Saccharomyces cerevisiae S288C: one gene and its partners. The main gene of each other region encodes a partner of the protein of the gene in region 4 in a complex. Each region holds a gene or a part of one and is shown on either strand. Other genes may lie near its edges. The genes, in order: RSM27, RSM26, MRPS8 and RSM24.

Evidence for each region.
Region 1: RSM24 (region 4) and RSM27 share a complex: the UniProt entries of both Saccharomyces cerevisiae proteins name them as parts of the mitochondrial small ribosomal subunit.
Region 2: RSM24 (region 4) and RSM26 share a complex: the UniProt entries of both Saccharomyces cerevisiae proteins name them as parts of the mitochondrial small ribosomal subunit.
Region 3: RSM24 (region 4) and MRPS8 share a complex: the UniProt entries of both Saccharomyces cerevisiae proteins name them as parts of the mitochondrial small ribosomal subunit.

The regions. Positions count from the first base shown.
Region 1 is NC_001139.9:920,562-923,097, forward strand, and holds RSM27 (mitochondrial 37S ribosomal protein mS33 RSM27), read left to right. Parts: upstream 1-1,613; coding exon 1,614-1,946; downstream 1,947-2,536. Other genes in the region: 40S ribosomal protein uS2 RPS0A, read left to right, coding at 14-103, 559-1,227; GPI1 (phosphatidylinositol N-acetylglucosaminyltransferase), read right to left, coding at 2,072-2,536. UniProt on the Saccharomyces cerevisiae protein: Component of the mitochondrial ribosome (mitoribosome), a dedicated translation machinery responsible for the synthesis of mitochondrial genome-encoded proteins, including at least some of the essential transmembrane subunits of the mitochondrial respiratory chain.
Region 2 is NC_001142.9:616,340-619,534, forward strand, and holds RSM26 (mitochondrial 37S ribosomal protein mS42 RSM26), read left to right. Parts: upstream 1-1,894; coding exon 1,895-2,695; downstream 2,696-3,195. Other genes in the region: AIM25 (Aim25p), read right to left, coding at 12-995; ESCRT-II subunit protein VPS25, read right to left, coding at 2,818-3,195. UniProt on the Saccharomyces cerevisiae protein: Component of the mitochondrial ribosome (mitoribosome), a dedicated translation machinery responsible for the synthesis of mitochondrial genome-encoded proteins, including at least some of the essential transmembrane subunits of the mitochondrial respiratory chain.
Region 3 is NC_001145.3:570,678-573,317, forward strand, and holds MRPS8 (mitochondrial 37S ribosomal protein uS8m MRPS8), read left to right. Parts: upstream 1-1,570; coding exon 1,571-2,038; downstream 2,039-2,640. Other genes in the region: TPP1 (polynucleotide 3'-phosphatase), read right to left, coding at 1-339; AIM36 (Aim36p), read right to left, coding at 600-1,367; YMR158C-A (uncharacterized protein), read right to left, coding at 2,517-2,640. UniProt on the Saccharomyces cerevisiae protein: Component of the mitochondrial ribosome (mitoribosome), a dedicated translation machinery responsible for the synthesis of mitochondrial genome-encoded proteins, including at least some of the essential transmembrane subunits of the mitochondrial respiratory chain.
Region 4 is NC_001136.10:812,669-816,055, forward strand, and holds RSM24 (mitochondrial 37S ribosomal protein mS35 RSM24), read right to left. Parts: upstream 1,485-3,387; coding exon 525-1,484; downstream 1-524. Other genes in the region: HMO1 (Hmo1p), read left to right, coding at 1-182; histone acetyltransferase NGG1, read left to right, coding at 1,784-3,387. UniProt on the Saccharomyces cerevisiae protein: Component of the mitochondrial ribosome (mitoribosome), a dedicated translation machinery responsible for the synthesis of mitochondrial genome-encoded proteins, including at least some of the essential transmembrane subunits of the mitochondrial respiratory chain.

The DNA of each region.
Region 1 (2,536 bases), on a different chromosome or scaffold from region 4:
AATAGAGAGCGAAATGTCCTTACCAGCTACTTTTGACTTGACTCCAGAAGATGCCCAACTTTTGTTGGCTGCTAACACTCACTTAGGTGCTAGAAACGTTCAAGTATGTTATACTCATTCCCGATTATATAATAGAGTAATGTGTGATTGAAAACAGTTCGAGTGAAAGAATAGCCACAACCAGGTTTCCCGCCAACCAAACGGAATGCTGGGATAGCATTTTTCAGGCTGAATAAGAAGAGAAATATATGAACAATCATTAAAACAGTTTGAAACTCCAGCTAATTATCAGCGAATATTTTGCCAATAGACTTTCTAATTGTATTATGTTATTAAATTTTAAATCGCTAATGAAAAAAAAAAACAAACCTTTGGTATTAAACCTCTTTCAATGAAATCAATTAATTCCGGTACCTATTCTTCCGACGCTGTTAGCCAACTATAAATGCCATTTTTTCATAGTACATTAATTTGAATCAGTTGATCATTCACAGCATATACCAAGTGTACGTTTTTGAATCTTTTATACTAACTTTTTCTTCTTTAATTTTGTTTCAGGTTCACCAAGAACCATATGTTTTCAACGCAAGACCAGATGGTGTCCACGTTATCAACGTTGGTAAGACCTGGGAAAAATTGGTTTTGGCTGCCAGAATCATCGCTGCCATTCCAAACCCAGAAGACGTTGTTGCCATCTCTTCCAGAACTTTCGGTCAAAGGGCTGTTTTGAAGTTCGCTGCCCACACCGGTGCTACCCCAATCGCCGGTAGATTCACTCCAGGTTCTTTCACCAATTATATCACCCGTTCTTTCAAGGAACCAAGATTAGTTATTGTCACCGACCCAAGATCAGATGCTCAAGCCATCAAGGAAGCTTCTTACGTTAACATCCCTGTCATTGCTCTAACTGATCTTGACTCTCCATCAGAATTCGTCGATGTCGCTATCCCATGTAACAACAGAGGTAAGCACTCCATTGGTTTAATCTGGTACTTATTGGCTAGAGAAGTTTTGAGACTAAGAGGTGCTTTAGTTGACAGAACTCAACCATGGTCCATCATGCCAGATTTGTACTTCTACAGAGACCCTGAAGAAGTTGAACAACAAGTTGCTGAAGAAGCTACCACCGAAGAAGCTGGTGAAGAAGAAGCCAAGGAAGAGGTTACCGAAGAGCAAGCTGAAGCTACTGAATGGGCTGAAGAAAATGCTGACAACGTCGAGTGGTAAGTAAGGTGATATTTACAAATAGTATATTAATAATTATAGTATAATGTTTTATTAGAATAACAGATTTCTTTATCAATTTAGCGGCTAAATAAAAATCAAGAAAAAAGAAATACATTCATTGTGTCATCTTGTCACACATTTAGCCATGTACTTTATTTGCTGAGAAGTTTAATCAATTGAGAGTAGTTAGCTATTGTAGTAAAAATGTGCAAATGAAGTCTTATCAACACGTAGCGTATATAGTGATCTAAAACAGTTAGAAATATAATAAGCGAACTTCTAAACCATTTTAGAGCACATAGCCATGGAGAATAGGTACTTGTTTTGACCCGCTCGACGAAGTGGTACGTAGTGATTGCGTGGATTAGTTTATCATAAGACTTTCAATGAACGTACCAAAGGCGAGACTCCTAAAAGTAGCAGAGTTATCTGCGAAGATATTTGATCAAAATTTCAACCCATCAGGTATAAGAACCGGTTCTAAGATTCTAAATGAGCGATTAAAGGGCCCTTCTGTGGCAAGCTACTACGGCAATCCGGATATCCTGAAGTTCAGACATTTGAAAACATTATATCCTGATATTGAATTTGTAGACCTTGAGGAGCAATATCGATTATCTATGGTAGAAGCAAAGAAACGTCGTGGTAAAGGTGCTCCTAAGAAGATGAAGAAGGATGCAGCTGCAACTGCAAAGGGGAAGGGGAAGAAAAAAAAATGATTGGAGCACCCTTACTAAAAAAAATATTCATTATGTAGAAACTCATTTCATGTACATACAAAATCAAAAATAAAACAACAAATAGCTGAAGCAAGAAAACGCTACTTTACTTATAAAAGAAAACGTTATGCCTGAATAGTCAGCCTTTTGTATAAATCCTTTACACTCAATGGCTTACTAGGCAGTGAAGAATAAAGAACATAGTACAGCTTATTTCTATTGACCATTATAGACTCCCCTCGGACAATCTTTCGTACAGTAGCAAACGAGAAATAATTTGTCCTCATTTGCGACAACAATAGATTGTATGGTCTGAACATACTCTTGAATTTAATAGGATTGTTTTGAAGTTCTAAGGTTGTATGCTTGTTAGAAACCGTGGTTTTGAGCTCAATTGAAATGCCACCGGGTAGACGTTTAGGATCTTTTAACCTAAGTAATAATGCGAACAATGGAAAATGGTTAATGAGTGCAATGACAGCTTCCGAGAATATTTCGATAGTTATTGTTAGCATTCTCAAAACTGTGTATGACATATAGAATGCCATCACTGTGGGAGTCAAGAACACTAGAATAATAAATAATAATGT
Region 2 (3,195 bases), on a different chromosome or scaffold from region 4:
ATATAATTCACCTACTCATCATAGCCACCGCCAAAAGAAAGGAAACCTCCAGTTTGTCTGGAATGTCTCGAAAAATAATCGAAATCGATGGACACAGCGTTTGCTAATAACACGGCCCTTTGATCCAAAGTTAGTACTTGAGAACTTAGCATCTCAGTAGGATAAATATTATCAAAGCATCTCTGCGAATCAAATCTAACAACATAAACACCAGTATCGGTAAACATTTCTCTTCCTAAACCAACCCAATTTCTGTCTACACTCGCCATTATCTTACCATCAGCATCTGTTACAGGAAAATCAAATGATAAGAAAGGTGCATCTATCTTACCAAATTGGTCAAAAGTGGATCCTTCTACTCCATCTTTCTGGAATAATTCGTAACGACGCCTCCAGAGATGCCAGTTCTGAATGGTCTCTCCTACTGTCGTTCCTTCTTTACCGTCGTGATAGTGAGTGGAGTCACTGCCATTATCAACATACGCGGAAGGAGGTATGATAGTCTTTATATGAGAATTGATGAACGAAAAGGGCCTTTTAATCGTCATTATTACATTTCCCCAATTATCAAAGACATCTACCAAAAAAGGACGATGTAGACGATAAAACTGCCGCATTATGGCCTTTGTTATAGAAAAATCTCTTTCCATCATTGATGCTATTTTGTTTCCGTTCACATCCATTATGGCATACCTATTAGCCTGCTCGAAACCTAGAAAAACGTTCATAAATTCTATTTGCCTTTCGATAATAACTGTCGGTTCATTAAGTATCGTAGTAGCTATAGGATCATGTACTTTTATTATCCCGCTATTGCTATTTTCTTTAAATGCTTTTACTGATGGCGCCTTCGTTATTTGGTTCTTTTCACGAATTACTCTCCTAAATGGACCGTTTCTGATTACTTTACCAGAAGAAACCGTTAATGTTTTACTCAGTGTACTGAAATTTCTCATACATGATCGGTAAGTTAGAAATATTGCCGTTCTATGCATGTCGGTGTTATCCTTTATGTTTGACCTTTAATCTTCTTTTGTTTTGTCTTTTTTCATTTCGTACTTTTCAAATCCTTATTGCCGGTAGGCTTACAAACTTGAATGAAGTATATAACGAAGTCAATGAAACCTCTCCCATACTAGGTTCGGAACCTGTTAAGGGGAACAAGACCGCGCACTTGTTATGAAAATTCTTCCTATAACTATATTGAAAGCTATTTTTCCACATCGGCAGACAAACGACTGTCCAGACTTAGTAAAGCTCTTGGTCGATTTTGTACATTGCCTTTCCTTTACAGCTCCAAGATATTATATATATTTTTGACAAGGTAATCAATTGCCCCACAAATCTTCCATATAAAAACCTATATATGCTATTAACCGAATGGCAATTCCCTCTATCTCATATCTCACCTCTACAGTAATCCTTCCGTGGTATCTGGTCTATAGAAATGGGTACTGTTTCATTTAAACGTGTTATCACTTGATCCAATGGTTACCATCTGACTTTGGCATCAATCCCTTCTTAAAAAGTAACCAATCAATGATATGCGATTGTTTATGAAGTCCATTCAACAAACAATGGGAGTTTGGCCGAGTGGTTTAAGGCGTCAGATTTAGGTGGATTTAACCTCTAAAATCTCTGATATCTTCGGATGCAAGGGTTCGAATCCCTTAGCTCTCATTATTTTTTGTATTTTTTTTTTTCACTTCCCATCTTTCCAAGAATCTTAGGAGAGGTGCCGCAGTACTTTTTTGGACTGAGCAAGAAGTATCGCAAAGCATGGAAAAGTAAGAAGGGTATAGCAAAAGTCTTTTCACAATAAGAGGATATTTTGCAGGCAAATTTCTGAAGACCACATAATATCGTCTTCTTGGCGCAACTAAGACGCAGAGAAATGCTTGTTTTCAAAAGGGGTATTCACGTAGTACCTAAACTACCAAATTCTAAGGCCCTACTGCAAAATGGAGTGCCTAATATACTCAGTTCTTCGGGATTCAAGACGGTGTGGTTCGACTACCAGCGATATCTATGTGATAAGCTAACGCTGGCGACAGCGGGACAGTCTTTGGAATCATATTATCCATTTCACATATTGCTGAAAACTGCAGGAAATCCATTACAGTCAAACATCTTCAATTTGGCGTCCTCTATCCATAATAACCATTTATTCGTGGAGAACATTCTACCTTCTGCTGTTGAACATGGCACTAACTCGAACGCCGTTGTGAAGACAGAGCCTTCTAGGCTTTTTTTATCCAAAATCAAAGATTCATTCAACGGCAGCGATTGGGAAGTAGTGAAGGAGGAAATGATTTACCGTGCTGAGAATGAAGTCTTGGGACAAGGCTGGTTATTTCTAGTTGAAAACAATGAGAAAAAACTCTTCATATTAACGAGCAATAATAATGGTACGCCGTATTATTTTCCCAGGAACCAGTCATTTGATTTAAACAGTGCGATATCCATCGATGAATTTGCTACCTTGAAACAAATGAAAGAACTGATAGGAAAGTCTACTAAGTTGAATGGTAAGGTTCAAGACTGGACCATGCCTATAATCTGTGTCAATCTGTGGGATCATGCTTATTTACATGATTATGGCGTTGGTAACCGGTCCAAATACGTGAAGAATGTTCTAGATAACTTGAATTGGTCAGTGGTAAATAATAGGATATTCTCTGGTATATCGAAGTAATGAAAAGAAAGGAAGCGATAGCCTCTTACCCTCATATGTAATTATAAAGGTATCGGGTAGAAGGGGATCTACCAAAATCTTATATACTGTAAATAGTTTTATTTTATCCTCTCGCTCGTGTTTTAAACAACCTTAATGGCAATTACTTTATCATTTTCATCTTTCAGCATTGTGGCCCTATTTCTATCGCATAGGGGCTTCAAACAATAATAGAGCAAGCTTTCGGGCATTCTATGGAACTCCCAATTGACTGTTTCATCACCTTCACTCAATTCGTATAACGTAATGACTTGATTCAGTTTTCCAGAGTCTTCGAACCACTGTAGTATCAAAGAAGCCCAACTGTCTAAGCTCTTCCATAATATAAAATATCTCGTAGTGGTGGTATTGCTGCTTCTCCTACCACTTTGGTCAATCGGTAAGCATTTGCCTTCTTTGGTCATTTGCGACCAAATTTCATCAATAAATACCTGTGATACAGATCTTTGGATGTCCTCATT
Region 3 (2,640 bases), on a different chromosome or scaffold from region 4:
AAATAGCAAAATTTTATTAGTGTACTTGGTGCAACTTTTAGAAGTTCTTGGGACGGTGATGACACCACCTTGGTTAGAAAATATGACTATGACGGCCGTGGGATCATTATCAATGATATTACACAGGTAATCCAGGGTGGATTTCTTGGAGTTAAAATTAATAAACTGCCAATCACTTGCGCTTCTACTAAAACTTATATTGGGGGACTTTGGTTTGATAATTGTATGGTCCAGATCAAAGGCATAAACGTTTAGACCATGCTCGTCGTGATCAATGGATTGTGGAAACTTGGGCGTGAACTTAATCAGAAATGGCAGGATTGTTAATTTGTGGGACATGGGCTTTCCTTCGGTTCAGTTTTCTATGTTATCCATCTGATTTTGGGATGATTTTACAGATTAAAATCGATTTAAAGCCATACGCAAAAGAGGGGAAACGAAAGAAACGCACAGAATTCATTCACATAGATGAAGGGAACAGAAAATGAGAATGTTATATGACAGATAAGCAGCATATTCAGGACATATATCCAGATATATATACATATAAGCTATTAACAAGGAGAAGAAACCAAAAAAAAAAAAAAAAGAAAACATCCTCAGATGATATCAGCTTTACCTACAGTTTCGTAATATTTACAGACGTCAGAGCCACTCAATTTCCTCGGAACAAAGATTTTAGACACTATAGAAACCTCATTTTCAAATCTTGTTGCATCAGCAATCGAATGAGGAAAGTTCACAACTACTAGCTTGTCACCGGTCTTGAAGTTCTCTTTGAAATATCTACCCAAAAGCATGACCAACATACCGGTCGGCAAATTGTAAGCGTACGTGTCACACCCGTATTTTTTGTAGTATTCATTTAATAAAGCCTCATATCTATCATCCCTCAAGGTTCTGTAGTAATCGATGACCTTGACTGGATCGACAAACTGCAGCTCATTTATATCATCGCCTTGTGATTTCTGCAGTACCTTTCTAGTTTCTTCAATGCTGGGTGATAAGGAAAACTTTATATCGACCTCACCTTGTGGGAAGATAGCCACACGTCTTTTCAACCCTTTAACCACATTTTCGAATTCTTCTTCTGATAATGTTGTCTTCGGTTTGTTCTTATCTAAAGACTGTACTGTCTTGACAAATATCACTGTACCGATAATAGCAACAAGGAAAATTTTCTTAAATCCTGGAGCATCTATTTTATCTGATTTGTTAGACCTTTTAGTTGAGCTATCAGTTGATGAGTATCGTGCTCTCAAGAGCAATGGTGAAAATAAGGGTAATTGCTTTTGAGGCAACCCACCGCACACCTTGAAACAATGTCGGCAGCTTGCTAGAACGCTTTTTCTCAGTGGTCGCAACATGTAGGTAGTCTATTTATCTGGGCTCGTTATGTATTAATCTTCCTATGGGGATTCATTCATTTTAGCTTTACCGGCAGTCCTTACAAACCGCTTTTTGAAATTAAATCGACAAACTGAGGAAGAAGAACGGAAAAACAGAAGAAAGCCAAAGGCAAAGAAGCGACCACATACACCTTTTTTTCGATCTAAACTAATCGCCCAAAATGTCGTTGGTCAAACTTGCGAATACGTGTGCTCATTTACAGAACTGCTCGAAAGTTAGAGTTGCCTTAACATCGATCCCATATACGAAATTGCAGCTACAGTTTGCGTATAACCTTTACCAACAAGGGTTCTTATCGTCTTTACAGAAGGGATCGACTATGGGACCAGACAAAGATTTTGTTGAAGTAACACCAGACAATATCTCTACTAGAAGGCTTTGGGTTGGATTGAAGTATAGAGATAACAAACCTGTCCTCAGCAGCTGCAAATTAATTTCCAAACCAAATTCAAGAATACACCTGCCAATGGAAGACATGAAGAAACTATGCTCTGGCGTAACTATTAGAAACATCAAACCACTACAACCAGGAGAACTGATTCTAGTTCGAGCTCATAACAACATTATGGACATTAATGAAGCCATATCCAAAAAGTTGGATGGAGAAGTACTATGCAGAGTAAAATGAATAGAACAATCACATATGACCGTATTTATACGTGTAATTAAAAAATATACGGACCATGTAAATAATAATATTATAAAATGCAGACAATGATGATGAGTATAGTACTACAGTAACGTCCTTCATTCATTACCTTTACTAGCAGTGATAAAAAGTTTTGAAAAAAAATGTGCTCCAGGGGAGGTTCGAACTCTCGACCTTCAGATTATGAGACTGACGCTCTTCCTACTGAGCTACTGAAGCTGTCTGTTATGGAGGATTCTAGCATTAAATGCTTTAATACTCAATAAAAGCAACAATGGAGAATAATTTATCAGCAACTAAATTTATAGACGAAGATCCTACGCCAAATCTTAGCTCCTTTATATTTAATATTGAAAAACATATGAATTTTAGGTTGAATCCTCAAAATGGAATTGATATTTCTACATAATAGTACTACGATTATTCTTCACTCTGTTTTATATGTGTCATTATGTTATTACATTATCAATCCTTGCATTTCAGCTTCGTCTAACTTCCATGACAGTTTCTCATACCTTATGTCATCATCTAACACCGTACATGATAACATACTGGTAGTGTAACTACTAGTTGATAGATGA
Region 4 (3,387 bases):
TACCACCAGCTTCCTTGGAAAACGGTCCAACTCATGCGCCGGTTCCAATTCCTTTCAGTTTACAGCACGCCGCTGAACCTCCTGTGGAAAAGAGACCTCACGATGATGATGGATCTTCGGAAAAGAAGAAGAAGAAGAAGAAGAAGGATAAGAAGAAGGACAAATCCAACTCTTCTATTTGATGGACGGACAAACTCGTTACTATTACTCTACTGTCTTTCTAAAATAAATATAATAATAAAAAAAGGAATAAAATATAGCAGCATGGGCTTGCTTTGCCCATAGTGTATGCACATATATATATATATATATGTATCTATCCCTCTCCTCTTGTAACAGTATATCTTCCTTTTCATTTTCGTTGTGTATATGTATGTATATAGTTCTAAATTTGCGATTATACCTTTTCAAACCTCTCAATGTTGTATTGTGCTAAAACTATGTACATTTTAGAGAAAAAGAAGGAAGCAAAACAAATACATAATATATACAGGGGGGCCGTTCTTTTTGTTTTTGAACATGTATTAAAGAGTGCTCAATAATTGATCTACAATATCAAATTTCTTCTTTGGTGCATCTTCAGGGCGTTTCCAGTGTTCAGGAAACTCATAATCCCGCTTCTTTTTACGTAAACTCTTAGCTATAGTATGCCTTGTGTCAAGGGGAACATCGCTAAAATCGTCCTCCGTCAAATCTTTTGACTCCGCTAACAGCCTTTGAAGAATATCATGCAAATAACGTGCATTTTGTGATGCATGCTCAAATTTGTCACTAGACATTTTAAAAATATCTGTAGTATGATCATAACGCGACCTGGCTAATATTCTGAACTTATGTAATGATTTTTCCTCCAGGCCCAATTCCTTGGTTTTAACGCTTAATACAACCTTCCTCGAATTGGGATGCTCTTCGCCAACATAACTAGTGTATCTATAAGTGACCGGATGACTTTCTGGAGATGGTCTCTTGTATTCCTGGCGATATTGAGCTAATAGCGGTAACTCATATGCGGCTAATCGATTATAGAACCTTTGTTCACGATGTTGGGCAACCAATTCCTGAGCTTGCGATGGCAATTCATCAAACATAAACGGTCTAAGACTGTTATCGCGATTCACGTTTCCACCTTTTATATCAATAGCGCCTTGTTCTCCTCTGTGATATAGCTTTTTAATATCGTTAACAGGTACATTTGAGTACTCAGAAGTGGTTAATAAGGCATTCAGTTCGTCTTTGTTAGGTTTATACTCTGAACCCAATCTAGCCATTCTCTCCCAATATAACTCTAAAATTCTTTGAGGAGGTAAACCCTTCCATTTTTCGGGATGCATATAGAGATCTGCTGAAAAAGCTGGTCCTTCTCTCACAGTTTTAGCTTCATTACCAGCATCACTGTTCAAACATCTAGACATTGTCAAAACCCTTTTCTGGGTGCTCCACAAATTACCCCGAGAGACTTTCCATAACCCCAATGGTACTTTCATCTTCCTAAGAATAGTATTTTAGTAGTGTCAAATGTTTCGGTAACTCTACTGCCTTGTTCACAGATCGAAATATACTCAGAATCAGTTACAGAAAAGGTCCCATTTAGCGTAATTTCTTAGCGGAACTCATTAAAGAGCTCCGACGTGCAACGCGATAAAGGTTCGCCGACGACAACAAAACAATGGCAGGCAGTCATTAAATGAACGCCATCAAATGAAATATTCGTGGTAGCGATTACAATAAGGAAGTTGGAAAAACATAACAAAGACGGAGCGACGAGAAGTATTGGACAGGACATATGCCTAGACATGGAAGAAGAGGAAAACTGCCAAAAGGCGAGAAACTTCCTAAAAAGGAGGGAGGCGACAATACTCCGTCAAAGCTTTTATCGTCAATGCTTAAAACTTTAGATTTGACCTTCGAGCGTGATATTGGAATGCTCAATGGCAAAAGTGTTAGGTCCATACCCAATAAAAAAACTTTACTTGAATTGCAAAGTCAATTGGATAGTCTCAATGAAATACTGGGTACAATTGCCCGAGGTGATCAAGAGACCATTGAAGCGCTTCGGAAAATAAGAGACAGTAAAAATGAGAAGCAAGCAAACGATGAAAAGCAGGAAACTTCAAATGCAGACGGGCAGCACGAAAGTTCTACTGCTACTGAAGAAACGAATATAATTGATAAAGGGGTACAAAGCCCACCAAAACCTCCTCCTTCTAATGAAATCTCCGGCACAATTGAGAACGATGTAGAAAGCATCAAACAAGCGGCTGATAATATGGCTAAAGAAGAAATTAATGAAGACAAAGATTTACAAGTTCATAGAGATCAACCCAGAGAAAAGAGGCCGTTCGATTCTGAAACTGAAAATAGGGCCACTGAAAATGAAAACACACAGAGGCCAGACAATAAGAAGCAAAAAATTGACGTTGACAAAATGGAAAACGATCCAACTGTTAAAAATCCAAAATCAGAATTTGTAGTATCGCAAACGTTACCTCGAGCAGCAGCAGCACTCGGCTTATTCAATGAAGAGGGACTAGAAAGTACAGGAGAAGACTTCCTAAAAAAAAAATACAATGTAGCTAGTTATCCAACAAATGATTTGAAAGATCTGTTACCAGGTGAATTACCGGATATGGACTTTTCGCATCCTAAACCAACCAACCAAATTCAATTCAATACCTTTCTAGCATTTGTGGAAAATTTTTTCAAAGATCTTAGTGATGACAACTTAAAGTTTTTGAAGATGAAATATATTATACCCGATAGCTTGCAATTTGACAAAACTTATGACCCTGAGGTAAACCCGTTTATTATACCGAAACTAGGCCCTTTATACACAGATGTTTGGTTCAAAGATGAAAACGACAAAAATTCTGCCTATAAAAAACCTTCACCATATTCAAACGATGCATCTACTATACTACCAAAAAAAAGTGCCAACGAACTTGATGATAATGCTTTGGAATCGGGCAGTATATCGTGTGGGCCCTTATTATCTAGGCTGTTGAGTGCTGTATTAAAAGATGACAATGACAAATCAGAATTGCAATCTTCTAAAATAATACGGGATGGCGGACTACCGAGAACCGGAGGGGAAGACGATATACAATCGTTTAGAAACAACAACAATGATACTGTAGACATGACATTATCTCAGGAGAACGGGCCCAGTGTTCAAACACCTGACAATGACATTGATGAGGAAGCATCTTTCCAAGCAAAACTGGCAGAAAATAAAGGCAGTAATGGCGGTACTACAAGTACGTTACCCCAACAAATTGGGTGGATAACAAATGGAATTAACCTGGACTATCCAACATTCGAAGAACGATTGAAAAGAGAACTAAAGTATGTAGGGATATACATGAATTTGCCTAAGGATGAGAACAACCC